4 linked regions of the Mus musculus genome follow. The protein of the gene in region 1 purifies or fractionates together with the protein of each later gene. This does not show direct contact. Links are inferred from orthologs where the notes say so. Each region holds a gene or a part of one and is shown in the gene's direction. Other genes may lie near its edges.

The links.
Region 2: the proteins of Nop2 (region 1) and Nifk fractionate together in Homo sapiens (co-fractionation; 3 studies listed by BioGRID, with this or other methods). This does not show direct contact. The link is inferred for Mus musculus from reciprocal best matches to the Homo sapiens genes NOP2 and NIFK.
Region 3: the proteins of Nop2 (region 1) and Srpk2 purify together in Homo sapiens (affinity purification with mass spectrometry; 3 studies listed by BioGRID and IntAct, with this or other methods). This does not show direct contact. The link is inferred for Mus musculus from reciprocal best matches to the Homo sapiens genes NOP2 and SRPK2.
Region 4: the proteins of Nop2 (region 1) and Ebna1bp2 fractionate together in Homo sapiens (co-fractionation; 3 studies listed by BioGRID and IntAct, with this or other methods). This does not show direct contact. The link is inferred for Mus musculus from reciprocal best matches to the Homo sapiens genes NOP2 and EBNA1BP2.

What each region holds. Positions count from the first base shown.
Region 1 is NC_000072.6:125,130,017-125,135,213, forward strand, and holds the start of Nop2 (probable 28S rRNA (cytosine-C(5))-methyltransferase), read left to right. Parts: upstream 1-1,866; 5' UTR 1,867-1,987; exon of another isoform or gene 1,988-2,013; intron 2,014-2,191; 5' UTR 2,192-2,196; coding exon 2,197-2,302; intron 2,303-3,502; coding exon 3,503-3,548; intron 3,549-3,697; coding exon 3,698-3,786; intron 3,787-4,530; coding exon 4,531-4,715; intron 4,716-5,197. UniProt on the Homo sapiens protein: S-adenosyl-L-methionine-dependent methyltransferase that specifically methylates the C(5) position of cytosine 4447 in 28S rRNA. Required for efficient rRNA processing and 60S ribosomal subunit biogenesis.
Region 2 is NC_000067.6:118,319,966-118,325,282, forward strand, and holds the start of Nifk (MKI67 FHA domain-interacting nucleolar phosphoprotein), read left to right. Parts: upstream 1-1,877; 5' UTR 1,878-1,927; coding exon 1,928-2,032; intron 2,033-3,616; coding exon 3,617-3,760; intron 3,761-5,317.
Region 3 is NC_000071.6:23,672,793-23,678,135, reverse strand, and holds the start of Srpk2 (SRSF protein kinase 2), read left to right. Parts: upstream 1-2,168; 5' UTR 2,169-2,262; coding exon 2,263-2,278; intron 2,279-2,361; coding exon 2,362-2,416; intron 2,417-5,343. UniProt on the Homo sapiens protein: Serine/arginine-rich protein-specific kinase which specifically phosphorylates its substrates at serine residues located in regions rich in arginine/serine dipeptides, known as RS domains and is involved in the phosphorylation of SR splicing factors and the regulation of splicing.
Region 4 is NC_000070.6:118,619,065-118,624,469, forward strand, and holds the start of Ebna1bp2 (probable rRNA-processing protein EBP2), read left to right. Parts: upstream 1-1,734; 5' UTR 1,735-1,867; coding exon 1,868-1,933; intron 1,934-2,017; coding exon 2,018-2,101; intron 2,102-2,296; coding exon 2,297-2,469; intron 2,470-3,005; coding exon 3,006-3,129; intron 3,130-4,233; coding exon 4,234-4,323; intron 4,324-4,546; coding exon 4,547-4,622; intron 4,623-5,070; coding exon 5,071-5,164; intron 5,165-5,405. Other genes in the region: Cfap57 (cilia- and flagella-associated protein 57), read right to left, coding at 1,185-1,341. UniProt on the Homo sapiens protein: Required for the processing of the 27S pre-rRNA.

The sequences.
Region 1 (5,197 bases):
ATCCACCTCCACCACTCAGCAGTGACCTTCCTCACTTTCTCTTGTCCCGGCTGCCCCTGGGGGCCAGAGAGACCCTTGCCTTCCTTCTGCCCATCTTCTGAGTTGTAAAGGAACAGCCCTGCGCAGTGGGGCAGGGAGGGAGGGAGAAGCAATGGTGCCCTTCCTGCTGGAGAGACAAGCAGCAGTAGCGCAGCGCCCGCCCGCCATGTGCAGGAGCTGGCGGGCTGGCTGCCTTCTGGACCCTGGCTTCTCCCCACCGTGCGCCTGTTACAAACTGTTGTGGATTCTGCCAGGCTCGAAGAAAATGATCTGAATTTCTTCCTCTTTTTGGTTTTATTTTGTTGGTTTACTTTGTGTTTTCTCCTTTTTGGGGGGTATTCAGAGTGGGCCGGGCCCCTGGGCGAGACACAGCTACCTCTGTTGGCATCTTTTTAATACCAGGAACCCAGCGGCTCCAGCCACTGAGCAGCTAAATAAAGTTGGAAAAAAAAAAAAAAAGAAAAAGAACCAAAAGCATAAAAAACCACAGCAAATTTCTTGATGAGAACTGAAAATAAAAGTTTCCTTGTATTTTAGTGATCTGGTTCTGTGTGGGTGAGTGTGGGTTCCAGGTACCCCAGGAACTGGCTTATCCTGGAAGACTGCCTGTGCTCCTGACAGGGTGACATTCTGGCGAACAAGAGGCTTCTGGACCATTGTTTATAGGCTCTGATCTTTAGCAAACTGTTCGCAGAGCACTCCTGCAGGAAGTAGCCACTTGCCTGGTACAGTTGTGAAGACATTGGGCAAGTGTTCTACCATGGAATACATATGCGTGAATATGTAATTATAGAAGTATAAATTTTTTGAGGGTCTAAGTAACAACTGCCTGCCCCTGCCTCTCAAGTGGGGGAATTAAGGATGTGTTACCTTAAGTATAAATTTTTTGAGGGTCTAAGTAACTACTGCCTGCCCCTGCCTCTCAAGTGGGGGAATTAAGGATGTTACCGTACCCTAAAATTTTTTCCTTGGTTTATTGTTATCACTTTTTTTTTGTTTGAAGATTTATTTATTATTATATATGAGTACACTTCAGACACACCAGAAGAGTGCATCAGATCTCATTGCAGATGGTTGTGAGCCACCATGTGGTTGCTGGGATTTGAACTCGGGACCCTTAGAAGAGCAGTCAGTGCTCTTGACTGCTGAGCCATCTCTCCAGCCCCTTATTACTGGTTTTCTTTGAGACAGGGTTTCTTTGTGTAATCCTGGGTCCAGGAATTCCAGGCTGCCCTCAAGTTAAAGAGATTCACCTGCTTCTTGCAGAGGGCTGAGATTATAGAGAACTACCACTCTCTTATATAATTTGTACATAGCATCACTGTGCACGTGGAGGTCAAAGAGCAGCTTGTAGGAGTTTGTGCCCGATGCCACTAGATGGGTGGGTCCTGGACTCAAAGACTCAGTTCTGCAGGCTCGGAGACAAGCGCGTTTATCCGCTAAGCGGTCTCCCTGCTTGGAAGGAAGGCCGGCCGAGTGCGTGTTCCTATGTGAAAGGGTCCGGAGGGGAGGGTTACCTCTAAGGAAAGCGGCTCTAATACAAAACTTTGGGAACAGGAGGGCGAGGGGCGTGGGACCCCGCGATCTTGCGGGCTAAGGCAATTAGGGTGCCAGCGGGAGGGCCAAGTTGCGGTGCTAGGTGGAAGGAGCGTGCGGCCTCGGGAGTAGCGGGCGGAAGCCACCTTCCGAACCGAGGGCAGAGAAACGCTGACCGCAGCGCCGCGCGTTTCCCTCTCTGAACCGCGGGTGAGGGGCGTGTCCCTGGATCACGTGTGTTCCGGTGCCGCGGCCGGAAGAGGCGGGGCGTTGTGACGACCCTTTTTGCGCTTGCGCGATTCACTTTCGCGGTGTGCGACCTCTGAGTTCTTCCCCCCAGTGCACGTGGAGCGGGCCTTGACTGGAGGTGCCGGGTCAGCCGGAACCAGGTCTAGGCGAGCCGAGCCTTCAGGTGCGTCTGCAGGATCGCGGAGCAAGGTTCCGAGAGGGGCGTGGTGACGAGGTCCTGTGGGAGATCCTGGAGGGGGCCATCGGGGTCCTGAGTAGTGGTCCTGGGCCGGGCGGTACCCATCCCTGGTAATATCCTTAAGCCTACGGCCTGCGTTCCCATTTCAGCATCCACAACGTCGCTTTGCCTCGTTTGTCTTTGCTTTAGTTATCATGGGGCGCAAGTTGGATCCTACGAAGAAGGAGAAGCGTGGACCCGGCCGAAAGGCCCGAAAACAGAAGGGTGCGGAGACCGAATTGGTCAGATTTTTGCCTGCAGGTGAGGGTCGTAGCTCCCTGATCCCGGCCAGCCTTTGCCCCATTTTGTGCCATAACTTCTCGTTTGCGTGTTCGCCTTTACCTGCTGCATAGATGTGAGCTGTTAGGAGATAAATAGTTTGGGTTAGAGAAGGGTGGGAAGCTGCCACTGGGGCATGGTACTCGTGCGAGGAGCGGTGCGATCTTCCGTTTCCAGGAAGGGAGTTCTCATGAAGAATTTGGAAAGATGTTATTAAGCTTAGTTTTGGTAAGCAAGAGTTGGAAACGGAACAGACCGGTCACGAATTGTCCGGAAGAGATGGAATGAAAGCACGGATCTGAGCCCTCTGTGGTGAAGGATGATGGAAGATGCAGTTTGTTGAAATATTGGCAAGCCACAGGCCCATGAAGGAGATCCTCAACTGTATGGACACATGGTCTCACTTCATCGAATTTTAGAGTCCTGGGAGAGAGGCTTTGTTATTTGTTAGGTTAGAGGTGTCTTAACACACAGTAAGTGAAAAGGGACATTTCTTGTAGATTGTAAAACCAAAAATAGCAAAATTAAGTTCTAATTTAGTTGATAACTGAATAAGCTGAGAATAAGGGAAGGGCAGAAAAGGGGTTTGAGGTTACATTGTTATCAGAATGTCACTGTTTGAGTTTCCTTGCTGAACAGTCTGATGGCTGCTTCCTCTCCTCTACATCTTTTGGTCTTTTTTGGGGTGGGGTGGGGTGGGGGTGGGGGTTTCGAGACAGGATTTCTCTGTATAGCCCTGGCTGTCCTGGAACTCACTCTGTAGACCAGGCTGGCCTCAAACTCAGAAATCTGCCTGCCTCTGCCTCCCGAGTGCTGGGATTAAAGGCGTTCACCACCACACCTGGCTTCTTTTGGTCTTTTTAAGTTTTCTGGAAGTGATGGGAATGGAGCCTTGGGCTTTCCCCATACTCCGCACAGGCTGTACTATTGGCCTGTCTTTCACATCTCCTGTAACTCCTGGATGACTTGTATGGAGTGACTCCCATGGACTGTAGTTTATAGCCTTAGTCTTTCCTGCTGCCGTGGGTGAATATGAGGACTTGTACATAACAAACAAACTCGCTCTACCACTGCCACACTTTTCTTCGTTAACGTGGTGATTCTCTCTCTTCCTAATTACATGCCTGCCCCCAGTTTGTATTTCCTATAAATTCCTAATCTATCCCTTTTTTAAATTAACAGCTGGCGATGAGAATTCCAAGAGGCTGTCGAGTCGTGCCCGAAAGCGGTGAGTGTGAATCCGCTGGTTTAGTGAGATTGTAGCTGCTGGATCCATGGGTGAAGAGGGCTGGTTGTGCATTGTCTTGTTTCCTTGTGGTGGGAGGTGGCAGAACCCGGAGGTATGTTCCCTTGTCTTCACTTTCTGTATTCTTTCAGGGCAGCCAAGAGGAGGGCAGGGTCTGTTGACGTCCCTAAGCCAAATAAGTCTCCTGGGATCAAAACATTGCCTGGAGAGTTATCCAAAGGTTAGTGACTATAGGAGTTGGTTGCTCTGTGAAGAATCCTCTGGGACCTGGATAGGGCTAATTGTTTCTAGAATGGAAGGAACGGCAAAGCAAAATATATATATATGTACATATATATATATTTTTTTTTTTGTTTGTTTGTTTCTTTAAGATGCTGGAGATAGCTCAGGCCGTGGTAAGAGACAGATTTTCTCTGTGTAGCCTTGAGTATCCTTTAACTCACTTTGTAGACTAGGCTGGCCATGAACTCACAGAGATCCAACTGTTTCTGCCTTACTTTTGAAAAATCACAACTCAGTTTATTTTATATATATGAGTGTATTGCCTGCATATATGAGTGAGTGTCATGTGGGTGCCTGGTTCTGTGGAGGTCAAAAGAAGGCATCGGATCCCCTGGAACTGGAATTACAAATGGTTGTGAATCCCCACCATTCGAGTGCCAGGGCAACGCCTGCTCTTATCCATTGAGTCTTCTCTCCGGCCCTATTTTTACTCTTTCTTGTGTGTGTCCGAATGTGGTTGTGTGCTCGTGAGTGGGATGCTGAATCGACTGAGAGTTGGAGATATAGGTACTTGTGAATTGTCATATGTGGGTTCTGGGGTCTGTGCTTTTAACTGTTAAGTAAAGCCATCTCTCCAGCCCTCAGAGACCATGCTTAGGGCTAGAAAGTACAGGCTCCAGGGGTGTGAGGCAGGGTGTGGTTGCCGTCCATCCAGGGTTTGGCAAACCCTCACTCTTCTCAGGAGCAGTCCAGGCTCGAGGTAAGAAGCGCCCAGCACCAATTCAAAACAGTGATGGGGACGAGGAGGAAGACTCGGGGGAAGACGATGTGGTGACCCAGGGGGACCTTTGGGGCTCTGAGGACAGTGATGAAGATATGGTGGATGACTATGGAGCTGCCTCTAACTCGGAGGATGAGGAGGAAAAGGTGAGTCTCTTCTGGGTATTCTCAAGTAGATCTTTCTGTTTATTTGAGGTATTGTCCTACTGTGTAGCCCTGGCTGTCCTTGAAATCAGCTCTTCTTGCCTCTGCCTCCTGATGCCGGGGCTAAGGGTATGTGTCACCACGCCTAGCTTGTTCGATCTTTGTTGGCCTGAACTCTACTTAGCCCAGGCTGGCCTCTAATTTACAACTCTCCTACTTTGGCTCCTGAGTGTTGTGATTACAGGTAATGTGTCACTGCCTGATTGAATCTTAGCCTTTTAGTTCCCAGACTGGCCTGGTATGTGTACTGCTCCTGCCTTGGCCTCTCAAGTGCTGGCATCTGGGTTTGTGCCACCATGTCTAACTTGCTTTTTAGCTTCTTTCCAAATTGTCCAGGCTCCTCCAGAGACAAGGACAGTCTGAGTGGAGTAGAGGGTTCTGGTGCTCCTGTCTCAGCACTCCCAAGCTGGAACGCACTGTCAGCT
Region 2 (5,317 bases), on another chromosome or scaffold:
CTGCATGGTTTCTACTTCAGTTCTTGCCTTGGTTTCTCTCGATGATGGATTTTAACCTATAAGGAACAAAATCTTGCTTCTCCCCCAGGTTGGTTTTGGTTTGTCTTATCATAGCAACAGAAAGAAAACTAGGACATCCCCAGAGGACAGCCTGCTGGAGTTGGTCCTCACCTTCTACCATTTGGGTTCTATGGTCCAGTTCAGGCCTTCAGCCTAACCTCCATAGCCTTTACCCTCAGACCCATCTTGCCATTGATTGCCTTCCTCCTTTTGTAGGGACAGGGAGGGTCTCATGTATCGCTGGCTGCCTAGATGTTGGTTTACTCAGAGTTGGAAGTAGAAGCCAGAGCTTCATAAAAGGCAGGTAAGCTCTGTGCTGAGCCTGCACCTCCAGCCCCTCTTCCAGTGTTCCTTATGTCATAACATTCCCCAAAGGGGCTTAAGGAAGCCCCATCTCCCCAGAAGTTGCTCTCTTAGATAAAGGGCTTCTTTTTTTATCCACTGAGTCTCAAAAATATTTTGCTTAAAATAATCTTCAGACCGGGTCAGTAAGGTGGCTCAACAAGTAAAGGCACTTGCCACTAAGCCTGAGTCCCCAAAACCCATACCGTGGAAGGAAAGAACTACAGCAAGTAGTCCTTTGACCTAGACACATGCGATGCAGCACAAGGGTGCACACACCCATACTCACTGACAGGCATACACTACACACAAAATCAATCAACCTGTCAATCAATTAATCTATAAGTAAATAAACAAATGGAGAAAAGACAACTGTTTCAACATAAGAAACTCTTACAAGCTTCTCCTTTTGTTTTCTCAAAATTCCTATTGTGTTACCTAAAGAAACTTACTAGGGAACTCAAGAGATGGCTCTGTGGTCAAGAGCTCACAGTCCTTAATTCCAGTTCCAGTGTTCTGATGCCCTCTTCTGGCCACTGCAGGCACTGCACATATAGGGTACATATACAGGCAAAACACTCATCGCATAAAAATAAAATAAATGGGGACTAGACAAATAGCTCACAGTTAAAAGTATTTTCTGCTCTTCCAGAGGACTTGAGTTCAGTTCCCAGTACATTGGACATCTCTCAACAGCCTGAACTCCAAGTTCAGGAGATCCGACACCATTATTCTCTATGGTCATCTGAATTCCTGAACACATACCCACTCACAGACACAGGTGTATAATATCAAAAATATAAATAGGTGTTGGATTATGCTGTGGAGACTTCCATGATGAGGACTGGTGGAATTTCAAGTCCTGAACTTGAGAGACCTCGGGGACTGGTGGAATTTTTTTCTTGTAGGGCAGGGTCTGGCCACTCTCCCACTTTTGGATGGTTAGAAAACCATTAGGGACGTTGGAAAACATGCGGGGGTGGGGGGACTGGGGAGGTTGGCCACTGGATCTCCTCAGGCAGGGGCCTGGCCACTTTCCTGCTTGAGCGTTTACAAAGTTTACAAAAGGAGCCCACAGAGGGGAAGGCTTTTCCTGTTGCACGTTGGCATGAACAGGCAACGGGCATGGCTAATGTTTGAGACTTTAAATTTGTTTTTGAGTCCATGGAGCCCAGGCTGTCTTCGAACTATGTTTATGAGAATGGCGCTGAACTCCTGATCCTCCTGCCTCTACCTCCCAAGTGTTGGGATTACAGATGGGGGCAGGGGGCGTGGCTCCAGTCACATTTTATGAGGCACTGGGTTTCAAACCTAGGACTGAGAACAAGCGCTTCACCAACGGAGCCTTAATCCGATTTTAAATGTTTTTAGTTTGTGGCCAGTAGGTGGCGCTCGAGCTGCCTCAATTCTAGACACCGGGGCCTGCTCTTTTGCTACACTTCCGCCTCTACTTCCGCTTCCGAGACGCGAAGGAAACGTCACTTCCGAAGGCTCCGCGTGGATTGACTTGTTCGGGTTCTCCAGCATGGCTGGGTTAGCAGGCCCCGCGAAGCCGAGTCTGGCATTGAACCCGCAGGAAGACTCGCAGTTTGAGAAGGCTCTGACGCAGATCCAAGGGCGCACGAAGAAGGTGAGCGGCGCGGGGCGGCCGGGCTGGCTCGGGAGCCAACCTCTCACGGGCTGGGAGACGATGGTTCCAATCAGGGGACCGAGGCAGGTCAGGAATCGGTGTGAGGTGAAGGAGGAGGGGTACCACGTGTGGGAGCATGGCACCCCCAGATCTCAGAATGTGTTAAAGCTGCCACGCTTCCGCTTTGACCTGCAAAATGAGGGTTCATGGTCTACCGCAGCATTCGGAAGGTGTGTTATGTCCCCTTAGTTTGTAGTGCTTAGAAGACGGAGTAGACGTCCCGAAGCCCACGTCCTGGGAGGATCGAGAGTCAGAATACAGCTCAGGGTCAGAATTCAGAATAGGGCTTCAACCTGTCAACCTGTCGAGTTCAGTTTGTATGCAATGTCCCTAACGGAAGTTTATAGTCCCTTTGGTTTGCACCATGGAGTGCATTGGAGAGAACGACAGCTTTTCTTTTTTTATTGTTGTTGTCCTGGGGGTCTTTTGGGAGGGTCGCTTTTGTTACAGTGTCAGTATAGGGTTTATTGTAGCCCAAGCTCACCTCACATTTGCTGTGCAGTCGAGGTCTTGAACCCCCTATATCCACTTCATGAATACACTATAGGTCACCCGGTACCCTACCTGACAGGAAACAAGTTCTTGTTCTCTGGGGTCATAGTATGGTGATAGAGAAGGAGAGTCTGCACCATGAAGGTTAACAACCGGAAACAGTTAAGATTCGGTGTAATAAACTGCCAACTGCATTCGGAGTTGAAGGTCTTGGTTTCACAGTGTTACTCTGAACATGACAGACTGTTACTTGCTTGTCCATTTAGCTCTTGAACACATGTTGTGCTGACTGTTTTGTAGGGACAGGTGGGTGTGGACATATGTGTGCCTTGGTGTGCATCATGGTGCGTGCGTGTGTGGGAGTCTGTCTCTTGCAGAGTCTGTGGCTCTGTGTGATTGAACTCAGGCCTCAGCCTTGCTCAGCAAGTGCTTAAGGGAAGAGAGATACCAAACACGGAGTTTTTCAGTTTCTGCCCTGATAGAGTTATGAGTTTGTTCCTGGACCAAGGGGAAAGAATGGTGTTGAAAATTTGTTGCAGGCCAGGCAAGGTGACTTTTACCTTCAATCCTAGTGTTGGAGAGGCAGAGGCAGGCAGATCTCCACCTAGCCTCTGAAAGGACTTTAGGAAGCTGGGTGGCGGGGACACACACCTTTAATCTTAGCACTCAGGAAGCAGGGGCAGGTGGATCTGTGTGAGTTTGAGCCTAGCCTGGTCTACAAAGCTAGCTCCAGGACAGCTGGGGCTACCCAAAGAAACTCTGTCTCAAAAAAAAGAAAAAGACATTAGAATTAATTTACTCTGAGGTTATGGAATGGTAACATACTTTCGTTGAAAAATAAAGACCTTTGCAGGGCATGGTGATATAGGACTTTAATCTTAGCATTCAGCAGTTAGAGGCCAGCCAGGTCTACGTAGTGAGTTTTGGGCCAGCCAAGGCTCCATAGTGAGATCCGGCTCAGAAAAATGTGTATACGCACAAACGTTTTGGTGTAGTATGAGTTTGTATTTTTAAAATGTTTATCTGTTTTAGCCTCAGCAAAAGAAGAAAGAAAAACTTAACCGTGGAGTAGTTTATCTGGGCCACCTACCTTCAACACTTTCTGAAAGCCACATCTATAACTACTGTGCCCAGTTTGGCGACATTAGCAGATTCAGATTGTCTAGAAGTAAGCGGGTAAGATTCTGTTCCTGAATTCAACTATGTATATTTTGCTTGTCAATTGTATGTCATCCTTTGTATTCATAGGCACAGCGTTGTTACCTACAAAGTTCCTGCTCGGGAACTTTTCACAAGCCAGGCATGGTGGCACCCCCCTTAAATCCAGCACTCAGGAAGCAGAGGCAGGTGAATCGGTTTAAAGCCAGCCTAGTTTACATCATGAGTTCGGAGATACCCACAGCTACATAGAGAGAGCTTGTCTCTAAATAAAGTAAATATAAGTAAAGTGATTTTACAAATTGCAGTGGAATCACAAGAAAGTAAGCTTGGTGTAGTGGCCTGCCTTTAGTCCCAGCACTCAGGAGACAGGGACAGGCAGAGTTTGAGGCCAGTCACGGTTTCATAGTGTGGATTTCTATCTCAATAAAAAGCGGGAAATCATGAGGCTGTGGAGATAGCTCAGTCTATAACTGTCAACCTACAGAAGCCAGGAACGGTCATATGCGCATGTGATCTCAGTGCTGGGAACGTAAGGCTTGCTAACCAGCCAGCCGAGCTCAGCTCCAGGCCAATGACAGAGACACCCTGGGAAATGCCCAGAGGTCCGAGCGCTTGTGCCATAAACATGAAGTGGAACACGTGCACACACACCCCTTCTTCAAGCACCAAGTGAAAGGCCAGGTGTGACCCCAATATTGGAAGCTGGAGCCACTGATTGTAGAACTTGTTGCCAGCCAGTTAAGCCAAAAGAGCAAGCGACCAGCTCAAGAGAAAGTCCTGTCTTGAGAGAGTAGAAGGTACTGTGCGCGCTCCGGCCTCGGCCTGTGCACAGACAAGGTGGTGGAGCGCCTTGCGGAACAGCACTGAGACTTCATACTTGGAGTTGGCTCACCTTTGTTAGAAGGTTCTAGCTGGGAGCTCACCCGACAGGCCGAGGGCTGGATGTGCTTACAGGGCACAGCCACACGTTGCTTACAGGGCTTCCCTCGGGAAAATCGGGCAGCAAGGATTGAAATTTATATCAATCTCAAGAGCAGAATCAGTGTTCTAAGTGTTCATTTAACTAAGGTAGTTGCTTCTCGTCCTCAGACTACACAGACAAGTAGATCGTGTTTATTTTGCGACTGCTAACCCTGGGGTTAATGAACTTAAGTTTGGTTTATGTAAGGTTTCTCTAATAGAGCCCCTAAAACCACAGGAATCATTTTTTGTGAATTTGCTTTTACCGGGGTTTAAGTCAGGGGATGGAAATTGTCGCTTTGTGACCACCACCTTCTTGAGGCCTACTGCCAACTGATTCCTCCCTGGAAGAGAATTTCCTCCCCTGGGGACTCCTCCCGCTGGTTGCCTCTCCTAGTTCCCTGAGCAATTCTTCCTCTTGGGAGACTTGTGCTGTCCCATCTGTTCTTTTGTTTGCGTGTGGGGAAGGAGAAGACGAGTCTTGCATTGTCCTGAGGAGGCTCGTGGGCTTTGGCGCTTTCTTTGTGGGTCATTGAGTCTCCTGGAACTCGTCTGGAATGTAACTGCCGTCTCCTGCAGGTGCCATGGCCAACACAGCCAGCAGCCTCTTTC
Region 3 (5,343 bases), on another chromosome or scaffold:
AACTGACCAGCTTTTCCTCAGTGAATGTCCACATGCCATTTTGCAGTTCCATTAGATGCTGACACAGCTTTTAATGTTTCCAATATGCAAGAGTTCCGGAATGCTCAATAATCTGTGTTTTTTTTTTTTTTTTCTGTTTTCTTTTTCTGGTATCTGGGAAGTGAACCTGGGTAGGGTCCATGACTTCATTCTGGTAAACATTCTACCTCTTAAGTTTTATTTATTTATTTATTTATTTATTTATTTATTTATTTATTTATTTATTTAGATTTTTCGAGACAGGGTTTCTCTGTGTAGCCCTGGCAGTCCTGGAACTCACTCTGTAGACCAGGCTGGCCTCAAACTCAGAAATCTGCCTGCCTCTTCCTCCCAAGTGCTGGGATTAAAGGCTTGCATCACCACGCCTGGCTACACTGACATCTTGATGTCACACACCATCTATGCATCTATACATCGCACTTAAGTTACTAACCTTACTGTAGTACTAGGCAAACAAAATTAAAACTGATGCACATTCTGCAAAATAGAACTAGATTCTTCAAAATAGTCACTGTTAGTGGTGCATGCCTGTCTTCCATGCACTTGAGAAGCTAAGTAAGGCAAGAGGCCTGCAACGCAGGTGTACTTAGACTGGCTACATTGTAAATTCAAGGCCTGCCTTGGAACTCAGGGAAAGTATCAGAAAAAAAAAAAAAAAGTCCCAACCCAGGGATTATTCTAAACACACTTAAAAACACATGGGCACTAACAGTAACGGATGACCTTGGGTTGGAAAAAAAATGTCGCCAAACATATTTTATTGGATTTTCTTAGAGTGATAACGTTCTGATTATGTAGAAAAAAAAAATCTTTGCTTTTAGTAGATATGTATTGAAATCTTTTGGGGTGGAGGGTAACAGTCTGCAAACTACTGAATGACTCAGCAAAATACACCATATGCATACACACACACACACACACACACACACACACACACAGAGCAACTGTGGAGAAACGTTTAAAAAAAACCTAGTGAATGTGGGTTAATAGTGCCGATTACTGCATTTTTCTTGTATGTTTCAGATTTTTTGAAAAAAAAAATGGAGAAAGTAAAATCTTTTCAAACTTGGAGCGGCCTTTCCTGTTTGTTGGGACATCTTTAGAGTAAGACTCAGTGATACAGTTGTAACTCAACGATACAATTGTAACCAATGAAGGACTGAGTGTTCAGGACCAGTATCTTTAAGATACTGTAATTGTTCAAAGAGACAAGAGAACACTGAAGTGGTAACTACGTGTCAGTCAGCGTGATTTGCATCTTAGATAGCCTTGGAAGGTAGAAAGAGAAACCAGGTAGCCTGGGAAGGCAGAAAGAGAAACCAGCCAGGCCTGAATAGAAATACAGGCTGGTAGAACTGTTTGACCTATTTAGGGTTTAGTTTCCCCATTATAGGAGGAAGAAAAAAAAAATCACTTTTTGGCATGATTGCTGTTTTAGGCTCTTATCTCATGGTATTTAGAAAATTAGGCTTTCTGTGACAAACTTTCCATTTAAGCTGTGTGCATCTTTCCTTCGTTAAACTCACGCAGCCTAATGGAGTAGGAAAAGAGAGGAAAATCACTTCTCCAAGGTCACACAGACACTCAAGGACCCAGGTTCCTCAGCTCTTGGTCTTGTGCCCTTTCCACGCCCGCCGGAGAGGAGGAAGCGGCGCTCATAGGGATGCAAGGATGTAGAGATGCAAAGGGATAGAGGAGGCCGCCTGAGAGAGGTGGCGAGAGACCCGCCAAGGCGCTGGCCAAGGAAGAGCGCATGGAGAGGCGTGCGGCACGACCAGCCGGGGTGCGGAGCGGTGGCTGGGAGGAAGGGTCGGCGGCTGGGCCTAGTGCCCGGGAACGGGTGGCCTGCGGCGGCCGTAAAAGCAAGGAGGTGGAGGCCGTGGGCGCGGGAGGCCGTGGGCGAGGGGGCCGTGGGCGCGGGGAACCGTGAGCGCGCAACCGCCCTTCAGCACAGGTGGGCCGCCGAGCGAGTGATAAGGGCGCGGCCGGGGTCCGGACCCCCGTGCTCCAGAGCTGCGGAGGGGGGCGCGGAGGGGGCGGGGCTGCGGGGCGGGGCCGCGGGGGCGGGTCTCATTGGCCCCCGCGGGAGAGGCCGCGGCGGCGCAGGCGCGGTTCCCGCCTCCTCGGCCGGCGAGCGAGTGGAGGCTGCATCCCGGTGCGGCTGACTGTCGCGTCGCCGCCGCCTCCGCCGCGGAGCCCCCCGCCTGGCTGCCCCGAGTCGGAATGAGCTCCAGGAAAGGTGAGCGGCGCGAGCGGCCCCCGCCCCGCCTCGCGGCACGCAGGCGGCCAACCCGACCGTTAATGTGTCTTCTCTCTCCCCAGTGCTGGCCATTCAGGCCCGAAAGCGGAGGCCGAAAAGAGAGAAACATCCGAAAAAGTGAGTCCGCGCGGCGCTTGGTCCCGACCCCGCCCCGCCTCGCTGAATGTTGCTTGCGGCCGCGCAGGCAGAGCTTCCCGGTCCCCGGGCCGCGGGCGGTGGGTCTCCCGGGACGCGGCGCCGGCTCTACGTGCCCCGGCGGGGGAGGGGTGGGGGGAGGGGCGCGCGGCCGCGGGTTCCGGAGCCGCGACCTGGCCCGTCAGCCTGCGAGCCGCCCGGGCTCTGCACTCGACCCCGCGCCCCGTGCCCCGTGCCCCGCGTCCCCGATCCTCATCCCGCGCCCCGGATCGGCGTCCCTGATCCGTATCCTGAGCCCCTTATCCACATCCCTGATCCGCACCCCAGTGCCTGTACCGCACGGGTCGGATAGTGGGCACGGGAGGGAGGCGGCGGCGCGGCTGACACCTGGGCTGCGGGAGCCAGTGCGCTGCCGCCTCTGCCACCTCCCGGTCCCGCCTGGGCCAGCCAGCTGAAAACCCGAGCTGCTTGTCAAGTGGTTTGGCTCCGGGCGTTGTTCCTGGCGTGAGTTCAGCTCCGGGACCGGTGCGTTTCGGCGCTCGGGTTTTTCATTCGAAACTTTCTGCTCGGGTCGAGCGTTACTTGCGTGCTGCGGCTGCGCCCAGGTCGCTTGCTGCAGTGGGCTGTGGGTGTGTGCGCGGGCGGGTCCCGCGTGGTGCTCCGGACTGGATCCACCGACTATGATATTTCAAATGTGCCAGCGCCAGCCACCTCCAGCCTGGACCTGCAGCCCAGTTGGGCAGCTGCTGTCGGAGAAGCCTTTCCCCGAGAGCTGGGTTTTCCTAGGCGTCAGAGCGCCGCCGCGTGTTTCTCTTTCCTCTCTCTCTGGGTTTGCTGGACCAGCTATCAACATCTTTGCTCACATTGTTTGCTTCGCTGTTCCTTTTGCGCAAGAAATTTGTGTGGTGTCTTTGGTACTATAGAGAAAGACAGAATTCGCCTTTAATAAAATTACGAAATATTTGTCTATCTTTATTTTGCAAGGGGTGGGATAACCCTCTGCTCTCTTAGGTGGTGGTTATAATTTGTATTGGCCCAGCAGGGATTTCCCACACATTTGGTGACATCTAGGAAAACTGGCAGGATTGTCTTCATTCAAAATTGAATATAACTTGACTGTATGTATAGGATTTCCTAAGATGTGGATATATAAATATGAAAGAAATCTATTTTTAGGAGGCAAAAAGACTTGAAAATTGGAAGGTAAACATTGAAAATTAAAAAAGGTTTTTATTTTTATTATTTTGTGTGTGTGTTTGGGTTTGGATGTGTAAGAGCCTTGACACCTGTGGAAGTCAAGGAACAACTTTCAGCGTTTGATTCTCTGACCATAGCTTCGGAAACTGAACAAGATCAAGCCTGGTTAGTATTCAGATGGGAGACTACCTGGGAATACTGGGTCTGTAGGAAAAAAAAAAAAAAAGAAAAAGAAAGAAAGAAAGAAAGAGAAAAGGATTGATTCTCTGTTATGTGTAGGTCTGTGGGATTGAACTCCAATTGTCAGGCATGGTGATAAGCACTGTTACCCTGAGCCATCTCCCTGGCTCAGATATCAGATATGGGATATTTAAAATGCTGAAACTCAATGTAGGCTTCTGATAGTTTATGCTTTTTAAAAACTAGTTCTATTTCCCCGGGGCAGTGATGGTACATACCTTTAATTCCAACACTGGAGAGGCAGAGGCAGGAGAGTTTCTGTAAGTTTTGAGGCCAGCCTGATCTATAGAGCTAGTTCCAGGACAGCCAGGGCTATACAGAGAAACCCTGTTTCACCCTCCCACCCCTCAAAGTGCTATCGTGGCTCAGTAGTTAAGAGCTTCTTGCTCCTGCAGAGGTACCTGGTTAGTTCTTAGCACCAAAATCATGGTTCACAACCATCACTATCCTCAGTTCCAGGGTGTCTGATGGGCAGCTGCATACATGTATTAAACATATATACATGTAGGCAAAATTCATAAAAGAAAACCTTAAAAAGTAGTGCTGGTTCTAACTAATGAAAACCCTAAGTTTTTCTTTTGGTGAACCATGGAAATTTAGCAGCTGTCTGAGTGGATGCTTGGGTTTAATTGTAGCTTTCAGCACAAGGTGTTGTCTGCGTGTGGGGATGGGGTGGGAGTGAGGACAGAGCTAGCCTGTCATCAGACATGATAAATGCAAAACTGCTTTCTAGGTTCAAGGACTAGCACTGGAGAGAAGGGACTTGAGGAAGCTGGGGTCTTAGGTTTTCTTCATTTCACAGACAGCTCTGACAGGTTAGAATCACCCGCCTTGTTTAAATCTACATTGAAGAGTCCTGATGATGAGACATTTTAAGTCTGGAGGAGACTTACTTTTAAACTGTGGTAGTGACTGGCAAGCTTGAGTGATGTGGCTGGGCCTGGCCTGATGCAGTGTGGTCTATGTTCAACATAATTTCCTCCTTATATGCAAACGGAGCTTTCTTTAATCTTAGTTCATTTGTTTCTGTAGGCTTTTATGAATTGCACTCAGCTTCCTGGGTATGTTTATAAAGTCCAATTTGTCTCAGAATTGAGGTCCTTTTTCCTTAGTCTCCATACTGTAGGCCTCTCTTTTGGGGCCAGTTGTGGTGGCACATGCCTTTAATCCCATCACATAAGAGGCAGAGGCAGGAGGATCTCTGAGTTTGAGGCCAGCCTGGTCTACAGAGTGAGTTCCAGAACAGCCAGGGCTTTTACACAGAGAAACCCTGGCTAGAACCTTCCCCACCCCCACCCACTCCCAGCAAAACAAACAAACAAACCAAAATAAAAAAAACCCGACCACCACCACCACCAAAACATTAGTTTTGTTTGTTTTGAACTTCATATAAAGCACACACGTATGGGATTTCTCTCTCAACTTATTTTCAGACTTGTCCATGTTGTATGGGACAAGTACCATTAACTTGC
Region 4 (5,405 bases), on another chromosome or scaffold:
GGGATTAAAGGCGTGCACCACCATGCCCGGCAAAAACTAAGAATTATTGTTCATTCACAGATACCACAAGGAAGAAAAAAAGCACAGGCTTCAGAAAGAAATATTTCTTTCTTACTTTTTGTTTTGCTTTTGTTTTTTTGTGACAGGGTTTCTCTGTGTAGCCCTAGCTGTCCTGGAACTCTGCAGAACAGGTTGGCCTTGAACTAAGAGATCTATCTGTCCCTGTCTCTCCAGTGCTGGGATTAAAGGCATCACTGCTTAGCTAATTATTTCTAACATATATACCTGACAAATTATTAGAATACAGGATATGTAAAATATGTCTATAACTAAATAAGAGAGATACCCCTTAGAACAAAATCTTACAAAAGTAACTGAAAAATTGGTAAAACTATTAACATAAAACTAGGGATATTCCAGGGGCTGGAGAGATGGCTCAGAGGTTAAGAGCACTGGCTGTTCTTCCAGAGGTCCTGAGTTCAATTCCCAGCAACCACATGGTGGCTCACAACCATCTGTAATGAGATCTGGTACCCTCTTCTGGCCTGCAGGTATACATTCAGGCAGAAAACTGTATACATAACTCTTTAAAATAAGTAAATAATCCGGGCAGTGGTGGCATACACCTTTAATCCCAGCACTTGGGAGGCAGAGGCAGGCAGATTTCTGAGTTCGAGGCCAGCCTGGTCTACAGAGTGAGTTCCAGGACAGTCAGGGCTACACAGAGAAACTCTGTCTCGAAAAACCAAAAAAAAAAAAAATGTTAAAAGGTTATTTGTCACTTAAGATAAAAATTTCAGCGTCTCCATCAGACATGGGTTCAATGAAGGTCATGTACTCTCAAAACCGTTAGACTCAAAAGAAGGTTCTGGTGAGGACAAACACAACTGCAGGAGAATACAAGAAAAACACTGTTTAAAGTAACTCTTCTCTGGAGTCATTGTGGAAAAGTACTTTTAAAACGTGTGTTATTTTACCTGTCATTTTGGCTACTTGTGTCACGTTAATCTATGATTAAGTAGTGTAAATGGCCATTTATTTTGTTTACATTTATAAAAATATGTGGATAACCCAGTTATCAAAAAAAAATCTTCCCAATCGTTGAGATTGTGCGGTTTTGTGTAGCACATGCCTTTAATGTATGTGTCAGAATGGAAAAGGTGGTTTCTTTTTTTCTTTTTTACCTGCAATGAATTTTTGCCATTTCTGATCTATATTGTACTTCACACAGTGATTTCCTGAAGGAAATATAATGATCTGTTCATCGAAGAAGAAGACATTGTTGGTCACGTGAGGCCGAAGACCAAAAACATGAAGCGCCTGAGCTACCACGGTGGACATGGTACCTGTCAAAAAGTATTGCAAAAGATGAAGAAAGAGGCAAGTAGGTGGGAGTGAAGCCGAGCAGCGCATCTCCCTTTCCTGCCCCGCCCCGCCCCGCCCATGGCCCCGGCCCGCCCCTCCCTGACCCCGCCTCGCCCCTCCATCGCCCCGCCCCTAGGCTCCTCTTCCTTTCCACCCCACCCCCGGGGCTCTTTCCGAGCCTTTCCTTCCTCTCCTGCACTCCCACCGCCCTCAGATCCTTAGGAGGACCCCAAAGAAACTATTTACCTCTTGCTTCACGGCTCTGGGTTACTAGACTACGTAGGGATCAGTAGGTGCTCTTCCTAAAGATCCGAAGCAATCCGGGCACGCCCAAACGCTAGAGCAGTTCCTATAGCAACGAGAAAACCGGAAGTGCGGCTATGAACCCGGAAGCGGAAGTCCCTGTTGAAAAGGCAGAGGCTTGTGGAGAATTTGTTGGCGGTGGTGCTGCTTGTGGGCACGTGGAGTGGCAGCCGAACCTCGCGGGGCGGAAGGCCGCGAGATGGACACCCCTCCGCTTTCAGAGTCGGACTCGGAGTCGGATGCGTGCCTGGCCTCAGATCAAGAGGTAGGCCGCAGCGGAGCTAGCGGGGCAGGGGCTGGGACGGGGACTTTATTTAGCTCTTTGGTACTGAGGCTCCCCGGTCTGTAGTTGCAGGATGCGTTTTCCCGCGGACTCCTGAAGCCAGGTCTCAATGTCGTGCTAGAGAAGCCGAAGAAGGCAGTGAATGACGTGGTGAGCTCGTGCGAGGGTCGGGGTCCTTGGAACAGGATGCGCACAAGCGCTGTGCCTCTTGGGAGACCGATTCTGGTGGGAAAGATGCACCCTGCGCTGCGGTCGTCATCCTGTGCGGATATTTGAGCATAGGACTTTGGGTTTCTGAGAGTCAAACTCGCGGTTCTCATGAGCGCCTTGTCTGACTTAACCTAGAGTGGCCTGAAACAGTGCTTGGCTGAATTCAGACGGGATCTGGAGTGGGTTGAAAGGCTCGATGTGACCCTGGGTCCAGTGCCAGAAGTCAGTGAGACTCAGCCAACACCTCAGAACCAGGACCAGAAGAAAGGCGTTAATCCAGAAGACGACTTCCAGAGGGAAATGAGTTTGTATGTTTGTTATGGGTCCTGCGATGGAGTTACAGGAAGGGGGTCTTAGTGTGTCTGCAACCTCAGAGGCACTGGGCGGGGTTAGCACGAGCGTGCGAGTGGATCTAGCGGGTTCCTCTGGTGGAAAGAATAGGTTCTTGGTCGCCGTTTAACCAGAACCCTGCTCGAGGGATGTTTCAGAATAATTCATTTGAAGCTTGTGTGGGTGCCTCCAATCATTAGAACACACTTTGCCTAGGGAATGTTATGAGTGCTCTTTCTGTAATGATTGGGAAACAGTTCATAGTCTGCGCAGTATTTAATAAGCTCGTTGTTTTAAACTGACTTGCTCTTGGAAGTATTTTCCCCTCGTAAATAAACATAAAGTGAGATTTCAGTTATATGTGCAATCAGTGGAGTTTTAGTTGGTGTGTCTGTCTTATCTTGCCAGTGCTGGTGGGATGTGATAGCTCTGAGGTTAGGTAACTTCTGAGAGGCAGTAAGAAGACATGAGCGCCCTTCCCCTCCCCTCATTACACCCTGTCCTGTAATGTCAGCTACCGGCAGGCCCAGGCAGCAGTGCTTGCGGTATTACCCCGACTCCATCAGCTCCAAGTCCCTACGAAGAGGCCCACCGATTATTTTGCAGAAATGGCCAAGTCTGATCAGCAGATGCAAAAGGTAGGTTTTTCTTCTGGAAAGCCAAGGTTTCATTTGTTCAGCTGGGTCATTCCTGTAGTCTTCAAAAAAAAAAAAAGATGTGTGGTGTTTGTAGCCAGTATTTCAACAGTCTCTGCTTCAGAGCCATGCCAGTCGCCTAGGCAAATTAGAGAGAGACGGTCTGGAGAAGTATGGGCCCTACGAAAAGAAGCTTGCGTATTTCTTCCCTGTCAGAGTGAGTGGAGTGGACAGACACAACAGTCTTAGAGTTCTGGCCCAGCAATGCCAAGGAGATTACTGTTGCTTCTAGATGGGGTTTTCCTCTCTGGCCCTTTAGCTTTTTAGAAATGGAAGACTTGACGGATAACTCAGATGTGGTGTGACTTAGAGTTGGGGGTTTGCGTATTTCTTCCCTGTCAGAGTGAGTGGAGTGGACAGACACAACAGTCTTAGAGTTCTGGCCCAGCAATGCCAAGGAGATTACTGTTGCTTCTAGATGGGGTTTTCCTCTCTGGCCCTTTAGCTTTTTAGAAATGGAAGACTTGACGGATAACTCAGATGTGGTGTGACTTAGAGTTGGGGGATTTGATCTTCACTTAACTTTGGGAGGAAAAAAACCTTGACGTCACATCCAGGATGTATTTAAAATTGTTCCTTTGGTCTCAGTCTTTGGCCTAGAGAATTACAGGTGGTACCTCAAGAGGCCAATCCTGAGACAAGCACAGATCCATCTACATCTGACAGTCACACACATAACTACTTAGCACTTTCAGTACAATGTGTGTGTGAGTGTGTGTGTGTGTGTGATGGAAGAGGTGAGGTACGAGTGTGCAGGAACTATTACAGATGTGGGCCATTAGAATGCTGCAGTTTTGCCTTAATCTGTGGAGAAACAGCAGGTCCTGTATGATAAGTAGGCAGCTTTGTGCCTTAGAGAGTCAGGGTCGTGTTTAAGCTCCTTCAGCCCATGGACACTTTTGGTGCCAGGCTCAGCTTTGGGACCGTATTGTTTTAATTTGGAAATCTAGGACAGTAAATGAGTTCCACAGCGTTCAGAGCTAGTCAGACACTGGCGCTCCATTCTAGTGTGCTCCAAATAGTGCCTAACAACTCTCTGCGTTTTAGATTCGACAGAAGCTGCAGACTAAACAGGCCGCCATGGAGAAATCTGAAAAGGCCAAGCAACTTCGAGCGCTTAGGAAATATGGAAAGAAGGTGAGAAAGAAAGAGCACCTGCGTGGGCCGGGCAGGGCCGGGTGCGCCAGGGCAGACTGTGCTGGGGTTCCTGGTAAAGTGTCTGCTGGTGTCCCTGAGCACAGGTTCACTCGCCACCGTGGCACACCTGGGTGTATCCAGCATAGTGTGGTAGCAGTGGCTGAGCTGCAGTCTCTAGAGTGATGGTTTGGGATGCAGGGCTGACTTTGTGTCTGTCTCACAGGTGCAAACTGAGGTCCTGCAGAAGAGGCAGCGGGAGAAAGCACACATGATGAATGCCATCAAGAAATACCAGAAAGGTCAGTGTGGCTGTCTGCTAAGAGTGTAGGGAGCCTGGGTCTCAGTACCTTAGAACCGAGGGAGCTCTCTAGTGCTTCCAGTTACCTTGGTTTGAATCTACTGGGCTTATGCTTGGAAAATAGTGCGGGAACAAGACATGCTTCTTTTTTTTTGTCGTTTTTTTTTTTGTTTTGTTTTGTGTTTGTTTGTTTGTTTGTTTGTTTTGTTTTTCTGAGACAGGGTTTCTCTGTGTAGTCCTGGCTGTTCTGGAACTCACTCTGTAGACCAGGCTGGCCTCGAACTCAGAAATCCGCCTGCCTCTGCCTCCCAAGTGCTGGGATTAAAGGCGTGCACCATCACTGCCCGGCACAAGATGTGCTTCTTAAGATGCAGTTAGGGAATAGCAGCCATGTCCTGTATGCTCCTAGACATACAGTGGTGCTGATGTGAATGCTCTTCCCTGCACAGGCTTCTCTGATAAGCTGGATTTCCTGGAGGGTGACCAGAAGCCTGTGGAACGCAGTGCAAAGGCAGGAGGTAAAGGCCAGCAGATGAGTAAAGGGTAAGTAAGGGTCTCGGTTTGGATTTGTCTTCTGATGCGCCAGTCTTGTGATGGCCAACAGTCAGTCCGGCGAGGGAACTTCCCAGAGCAGGCCTCTAGTATCGGCTACTGCTGCTCAAGGGTCAGAGACTTTGATACTGTGGGGTTGGGTCCCTGGCTATAGCAGTGTTTGAAGGTGGAAATTGGTACTTGGATCATTTGAGGTGAGTGTCAAATGACTGTTCTACTCCATGACCCCCAG